Linked DNA regions of Bombyx mori. The protein of the gene in region 2 purifies or fractionates together with the protein of the main gene of each other region. This does not show direct contact. Links are inferred from orthologs where the notes say so. Each region holds a gene or a part of one and is shown on either strand. Other genes may lie near its edges.

Region 1 (4,060 bases), on a different chromosome or scaffold from region 2:
AGAGAGGGAGACGAGAGACCCAGAACGTTCGGTCCGATGAGGCCTCCCGATGGATACGTGATACCAGACGATTATTACAGTACTCGAGATTGTAATGAAATCATGGAGGAATAATTAAGAATAAATTATTAAAAATGTTTTGTTTTTCATTTTGTCTTATTGACGACGTCTGTTCGAAGTACACCGCCCAAAATAGTCTATAAAGTAGTCCGATAAATAATAAACTTTATGCTGTATATAACTGCGAAAGTTAAAAACATTTTTCCTTCTTTAATATATTTTATAAATTAGCTTAGATTATTTTTCTCTTCCATACTTGTCTCCATTCATGCTCTATGGGACTTGGGTCTTGAGCTCGCTGGTTGTTCAATAACATTCATTTACAATTTCAATGTTTCGAATGTAATTGACAACCACGGCTGCAACACGTGAGCGTGCATTATCATGCATAAAAATAAACTTTCCGTGAATGGGAGTTCAGTAGGTGCCCCCTTAAAGAAACTATTCATACCCAAAGACGTCTTTAACTCGTATAGCGCCCGTGTGCAGTCATTATTCTAGTGTCTCCAGTAAGAGCAACGTCAAAATGTAACAGGTTCGTTCATCGAAAGTGCTGAGGCCGACGCCTTCTAATACCGCTTCGTCTACACCCTACACTATAGGTATCTACCGTGGAGCACTAATGGTTTGAAGGGTGGAGCAGCCGTTGTAACTATTTTGAAACGTTAGAACTCCTGTTTCAAGATAGGTGGTGGCATTTACGTTGTAGATGTCTATAGGCTCCGGTAACCACTTGGCACCATCTATGCAAAAAAAAACACCCACTTCTGTTCATACCATAACTGTTTGGTCATTAAATATCTTCTTTACAATTATATTGTTTTGAGCTTGCCTCTCTCTTAAGGCTCTCGACATTTTAATCTCTCTACCTGGCTCCAAGCTGTATCATTACAATTTTCGTGATTGCGAACAGAATTAACATTGTATATTCTAGAAATTTCTACTAGTTTTTGTTCTTACTGTACTTCCTTAAACTTTTGAAAACTTGATTTTGAATCAGAATAAAATTATGGTTCGATTTTCGAGGTGGTTAAATGTTCAAGTAACTTATGGCCGGAAACAAATTGATCTATATTGGCGTTTTGACAACATGAGAAGTTGACGAGAAACGAAACGTTCCGTTTCGAACGGAGTTGTCAAAAATGGCCTCCCTTCTCAATGTTTTGTTGCGAAAATCTCCTAATTTCGGCCAAAAATCGGTCTTATTAAAGAACATTCCCGCTGTTCATAATGTGAAGTGAGTGTTAAATACAGAATTATAAAATGAGTGTGTTCAACTATTGAGCAAAAGTGAAAAAAAAATTATGTAACATTGTAGGTTAATTCACTTTAACTTATTTATGAATTCAAACAAAATAAACAATTGCAAACTCAATAATTTTACAACTACTTCGTTTAATTCGCATCTGTAATTAAAGGAACCCAATAACAACTTTGACTCCATCTGCCTCGACTCTGTATCTAACATTACTCTTATAACTAAATTCATAATATTTTGTTACATTTCACACATAGTCTTCCACAACCAAATTTAATGATACTGATCTCAACTAAAGATGAACGACTTTCTAACCGGAAATCTTACAGCCCTGAGTAAGAATTTAAATAATAGGGTACAACAGTATCCCAAATGTGTTGCAAATATAGTTATCTCCCAAAAGCACTCTTTAAGTCATTTTATACACGAGATATAAGTAGAGTTATTGTTGTAGAGTTACTAAATTCATATGTTTATTTTTAGAGATATAAAAAAAAACAAATAAGTTAAAAAAATCCCTGCTCTAGTGTTCGGGATTGGATATGCTTTTAATGTCTAGAAATCGAAAGCTTAATGGCTAACAGAGCTCACTATAAGAACTTTTACAGCTCCCAAAGAGATGGGCACCGTTGGTTCCCTGATCCAGACTTTGTGAAACAATTTGAAGGGCCAGTCATGTATCCTGATGAGTCGACCAAATCATTGAAACCTGTTCCTTATAACAGTAAGTAATTAATGTGGCACATAAATATTTTTGTTATGCCGCAAATACCTCTAGCACCCATTTAGTAAAATTAGTACTGACCATAATCAATCATAACAAATTCACATCTAAATCCGTTTTCATCATATTAACATTGTTGTTGTTGCTATCTTAGGCTTGCTGGTACATAGGGCCCTCACAAGCTGTCTCCACTTGACCCTGTCTTGTGCTTATGTTTTTTTTTTATGATCACGCTCCAGATCATGCTGGCAGTCCTGATCTCGCTCCACAGTGCCATTATGTACAGGGCGATCAGGTCTTCTCCTGCCAAGTGGTTGCCACTCAAACGCGATTGATGATACTTTGACTCTGCTGCGCCGTAAACTCGTAGAGTGTGTCCTGTTCAACGACATGTGTGGCTAGATTACCTTTAAACTGGAAGTCTTAAAAAAATCGCTGTGACTCTTCAGGAGGAGCAAGCCAGAGTTTCTCCTGTTTGGAAGTGAGACCTGGAGAGTGACGTAAGACAATCACCAACCAATTGCAGGTGTAAATAAGTGCTTGAGGTCGATACTCTGCATATTCTGGCCAGCCACTATATTAAATAAAGACCTCTGGACTAAATGTGCCTAAACCTCCATCGCCCATATTAACGTTATTAAAATATAATGTGATGTGTTAAAACATAATAAACTGTCAAAGTAAGTGTAATTATGTCTCTAACTTACAACCCACTAAAATCAAAGAGAAAACAAAAGTTAGTTAAACTTTTCATCGTCAGTCGTGTCATTTTTTCCGTAGTTTAATGAATGATAATTTTTTAGTATTACAGTTTTTACTGTATCCATTATTTATTTTGGATAGTATGAACATACATTCTTGGATTAAGTGCTTGTATTATATTTAATGACCTAGTTTAAATGATATTCTAGAGGATTTTGTTAGAATCAACTCTCTCTATTTTGGAGGTTATAATATCGAGGGGTGAAAGTCTATTTGGTTTAAGCGACATTTTTGCGACTTTACAGGAAAGCCATTTCAAGTTCAAAATTTCGAGAAAACAAAAAATTCCTTCAGTTATTTGAATGGAGTAAACTTAATTGAAGTTCAAACAAAAATATTGAACTGTTGATGCTGATACCAAATCCATTTAATAACAAAGATAAATGTCGCGTATTAAGCGTAATTTTCCTTAAACGAAATAGCATTTCACCACTCGATATATAGTAATAGAGATTCATTAATTACATATTATTGTTTTGACTTGTATACCCTGTATAAGGTAGCGAGACTGCAGCATTTAACTACTCTATCCAATAAAGAAAGTGTTTATCACCTAATCGCTTAGAATGAGGCAGACTCTGCCCTCAAATGATAAAAATATTAAAAAATAATAATCTTTCAGGCATCATAAAACCGGCCGAAAAGAAAGTACGCAACATGATCCTGAACTTCGGGCCCCAGCATCCAGCCGCTCACGGGGTGCTGCGTCTCGTACTGGAACTGGACGGAGAGGTGAGATATTTTGGAACATCAGCAGTTGAATTAGCTGATGCATGTATCGTCTTCTCACATTAAAACTGTATAATCTCAAAACTTACAAATTTTACAGGAGTGTTTTAAAGGTTTAATATTAATCATCTTTGCAACATTTATTAGTTATTTTTTACCAGTTACATTATTTGTCTTTTATAGTAAGATAAAATTATGTATTAATTTTGTTAATAGTAAACAATTTTGTAAATAGTAAAAAAAAAAAAAAAAATCTAAACTACGCTCTTTGACAGATGATCTATGAGAAAAATACTGGTGATACCAAATAATTCCGCATAATAACTAAATTTCGAATATTTTTGGAAATTGTTCACTTTTAATGCGAATTTATTTGGAGAATATTAAACTCAGTTTCTCAGAGCAGTCCGATGTTGGTGCTGTTATAAAATCATCATTCTTGGCCTCTTTTTTATTTTTTATTGCATAGATGGGTGGACGAGCTCACATCCCACTTGGCGTTAAGAGGTTACCGGAACCCATAGACA
Region 2 (4,028 bases):
TTGCAAGCCTTGTATTAAAATTTGCAATGATAGCTTATGGAAGTTGTCGGTGCGTTACGCGAAGTGTTTCCCCAACAATTATCAATTAAACAACTGCTGCAATTTTGTAGACACGGTTGGTGTTTTATTAGACTATTACTATATTCAAGGTAGTGTTAATCTATATTTAAAGTTCTATGAAATGCACTTAATATCATATTTTTTTAAAAATAAATATCTATCCATCTCATTTCATCGTGAAAATGTTGGGACAACGAACAAAATTACTTTGTTAATTTTAGATATTAACAAGACTGTCAAGAAAGAACAACTCGAGGGGCGAATAAAATCAGCTAAACCTATTTCATCGATAAATAATATAAAAAATAAAGGGTAATCACATTTCTGAACTTATATTTAATGAACTGTGGGGTTAGTAGGGTACTGTGTCTATTAAACCGTAGGTCACATGGATTTGTTACAGTGATTTCACCAGTGATATTATACCAAAAAGTGATTTAGAATCTGTCTCTACGAGGTCTCCTCGTCCTCAATCGCGAACTTCGAGCGCTCGTTCTAATTCTACGATTCAGCCAAATGTAAAAAGTAAAGTAAGTATTTTCGACCCTGGGCACAGTTTCGCAAATTTCCGTCTTTTAATTAACTGTTTTAATTAAAGGAATCTAACATAAAATCAACCTATCGTATTTCTTCAAACGAAATGTATCCTGTTCACATGGTGAAAAATGTACACGACGCTAGGGTAAGAAAGGTTTTTTAGTAATTATTCTGCCTGTACATTATGTTGGTCAATCAATTGATTTCTATGTTGCTTAATAGATACATACATAATTAAGGTAGATTATCAATGTTTCTGTGATTTTCAGAATTTTTTGATGCGGAGTAGTATATTTAATGATCACCGAGGAAGACAGTTGAGTTCAACAGTCACAGTGACACCGGGGTGCACCATACGAATACCAACGAATACAGCTCCTAGCTACGCAGCTCACATGACACCGTCGTTTTTTAATGCAGGTACGATTTTCAATGTTATTAGTATGTAGTATAATTTCATTGCCAATGTACATAATAATATTAGAAACACTTTTTAACTACATAAGCGCCACCTGTCGTATATTTTTGGTACTTTGACAAAAATGTTACTGGAGTGCCAAAAATAAATAAAAATTAAACCTAATCAAGGAAGAGATACGCGAATGCTAGTAACATTTAACAAATAAACAAACCTGTTTTTTTTCTTCATAGATTATAGGTAGGATGATAGAATCCGTCAAATTATTTTTTTTTGTAAACTTGCAGTAAATTTCAATTTACAGCTTCTAACACGACACAAAAGGGAAATTTAACACAGAACAGACGTAGGCTCGGACGTAGCCCCAGTCCATCACCTACTCGTGTATTAAGTAAACAAACACGAGCTACGAATACGCCTCCTTCACCTGCCGAGAAGTCCGTTGAGAAGGGATCATCGAGGCTCGCGTTAAAAGAGGCTCTATCAAGACTCAAATGTTAGTACATTTAATAAATACGATTCAATGTATGTATGTAGATAACGGTCTTTAGGTACGTAAGTCATAACACGTGTTCAATATAAGCACTTAAGAGGTGCTGGTGCTTAATAGTTATTTAAAAAAAGAACTGATTGACAGTTACGGTACTTGTCAAAGACATTTTTACATGTCAAAATGCTGCCTAACCTCTATGCGATTGTATTTGTGATGAAATAACAAGTAATATTTTAATTAAAATGATATTTTTATGAAAACATAAAACTTTAGAGATTATTAAATGAACTAAAGCCATCTGAGATGGGTGCTTTAGTAGCGAAGGCATTAAGACCGGTCAAAGCTTTTAACATCGAGAACAGAGCTCATCGTGTGATTTCAAAAGAAAAACCTACACCGGCCCCCAGATATCCAGGAAATATTGAAGATTTGAAACGAACTTTAGAAGCTGACCCGAATATTGACGAAAAATTAGATAAAAAAGATCCTGCGCTTGACGATAGACTGAAGGATGTTTATGTAACATCTTACGGTCGGTCTGAAGATGACGTTACGCGGGAACTACGAAAAAAACAAAGCGAGGTAAGGCCTTTGCCTCAGGACCGGAAATTAGTCGAAGATTTTGAATTTGGATTTAGAGAACCGGAAAAAATTAAATATGGACGCGCTACACTTAGACAAGTAGTGACCTTTATTTCCGCTCATCAAATAGACAGCAAAGAAGCTAGTCCAGATAAAATAGCATTTGAATATAAACTGAAGCTGGAAGACGTGGAAAGCATATTAAAATATTTTAAAACTTTTGAAATTTATATACCTGAAACCAAGAAAACTCCAGCAATGTTTGCAGGACCAGCTCATTTGAAAAAAGAAATTATCGAATCACAAAAGAAGGCAATTGAAGAAAACAGTATGTTGGACGCTAAAACATTAAGACAAAAGAAAAGTTAGGTGTTTTAATTCATTCTTATAAAGTAGTTAATGTTACTCAGTTGAAAAGCTTAAATTGATTAATAAATATTATTATTTCTTGTAAGATGAACAAAAATATTTGAAATAAGTTTGTTTGAAACATTCCGCTTGGAACATTTGCATGTAATAAATATAAATAAAACTTCAAAGTTCTATCTCAGTTTGTTCTGAAAATAAAATTGCAATTACTTACATTGACTTTTTTCAGATACATTTCAATATTTATTTTTAGTTACATTTTGAAATGAAAACCTTTGCATTTAATATCAAATAAAACCTAGTTGAAATTTTATAAAAGATAAAAGTAAAAATGCAAGGAAACAAAAATTAAAACCAGTGGACGCCTATAGGCTGAAAGATAGATAGAAAGATATAAATAGGAAACAATATTAATGTGCTAAGCTAAGCAAAAACATTTATGTTCTTTTCATTAAATTGAACCCAAAAATTTTTTAAAAGGTGATTGCCTAATGCCACTTGAGACTATAGACCTTACAAGTGACTTGATTTTCAACATACTACATGCCACAGCTCAAAAGCATAATTTCAATGTTAATTTTTGGTTGAAATCATTTTGAGAGGTGAAAGAAAGGCTATTTAGTTTAAGCAACATTTAGGCTCATATTGAGTTATATACATATTCGGAATCAGGGGATTTTTCTCCATCTATTCACAAACAATTGTTTTTAATTGAACTTCATTTAGTTTATGCCATTCAAATAGCTGAAGAAGTTTTTTGTTATGACATTTTTTGTTAAAATTTTAAACTTTAAATGGTTCTCTAGTAAAGATAGCTACAAAGATGTTGTTTAAGCCTAATTGCTTTTCATCCCTCGATTTATTATCATTGTGCCAGGTAAACTACCTTTTCAAAGATGGCAACTATTGTTATTCAACCAAATTTAATTTCTTATACCATAAAATTGTTGTTAATTTATTTGTTAAATCTCTAGTTGTATGTAGACAGTGATAAATAAAATGAATTTCTTAGCATAAAAAGATTTTTATTCAAATTGACTCATTCAAAATGCTCACTTATCCCATAGTAAATCTAAGTAAGACAATAAGTGGCTCATGAATATTAAAGGTTTTATTTAGTATATAGGCAGTAGTTTATCAGTAAGCAATAGAGATGTTTATTTTTATATTATTTTACTTAAAAGCTTTATCATAAGTAGCACACGATTAGAATCTGTTAATTTTTTGTCTGGAGTTTTGCCCGTGTGGACTACATTTTATGCTAAGGTTGTTTTACCTTGAAATGGTAAGAGTAGGTCAGCTTAGAAACAATGCAGAAAAATATAGTACCATCTATTTTAAATCATTGTACTTGAAACCAAAAGTTTATCTTCACAGTGGGTGTTTCCTTCTTAGTAAGTCCCAGCAAAAGTCAAGAGAGAATGGAGCGTGCAGTAGAAAATTGATTGGGTCGTTCTTCAGCAGACCTGAGTGTTTTGTCGCGATTGTACTAAAAAAATTGTTTCCCGTGTTTTTGTGCAAGTATTTCCATATTGAATTATTTTTTTCGTCGTTTCCCAACCTATTCGT

Evidence for each region. Proteins that work in one complex are often made in the same cells at the same time.
Region 1: the proteins of protein NDUFAF4 homolog (region 2) and NADH dehydrogenase-ubiquinone Fe-S protein 2 purify together in Homo sapiens (co-immunoprecipitation; 3 studies listed by BioGRID and IntAct, with this or other methods). This does not show direct contact. The link is inferred for Bombyx mori from reciprocal best matches to the Homo sapiens genes NDUFAF4 and NDUFS2.

What each region holds. Positions count from the first base shown.
Region 1 is NC_085129.1:20,060,761-20,064,820, reverse strand, and holds the start of NADH dehydrogenase-ubiquinone Fe-S protein 2, read left to right. Parts: upstream 1-1,189; 5' UTR 1,190-1,202; coding exon 1,203-1,297; intron 1,298-1,926; coding exon 1,927-2,042; intron 2,043-3,426; coding exon 3,427-3,536; intron 3,537-4,060. Other genes in the region: kanadaptin, read left to right, coding at 1-114. UniProt on the Homo sapiens protein: Core subunit of the mitochondrial membrane respiratory chain NADH dehydrogenase (Complex I) which catalyzes electron transfer from NADH through the respiratory chain, using ubiquinone as an electron acceptor. Essential for the catalytic activity of complex I.
Region 2 is NC_085126.1:4,813,533-4,817,560, forward strand, and holds protein NDUFAF4 homolog, read left to right. Parts: upstream 1-1,511; 5' UTR 1,512-1,811; coding exon 1,812-2,459; 3' UTR 2,460-3,479; downstream 3,480-4,028. UniProt on the Homo sapiens protein: Involved in the assembly of mitochondrial NADH:ubiquinone oxidoreductase complex (complex I). May be involved in cell proliferation and survival of hormone-dependent tumor cells. May be a regulator of breast tumor cell invasion.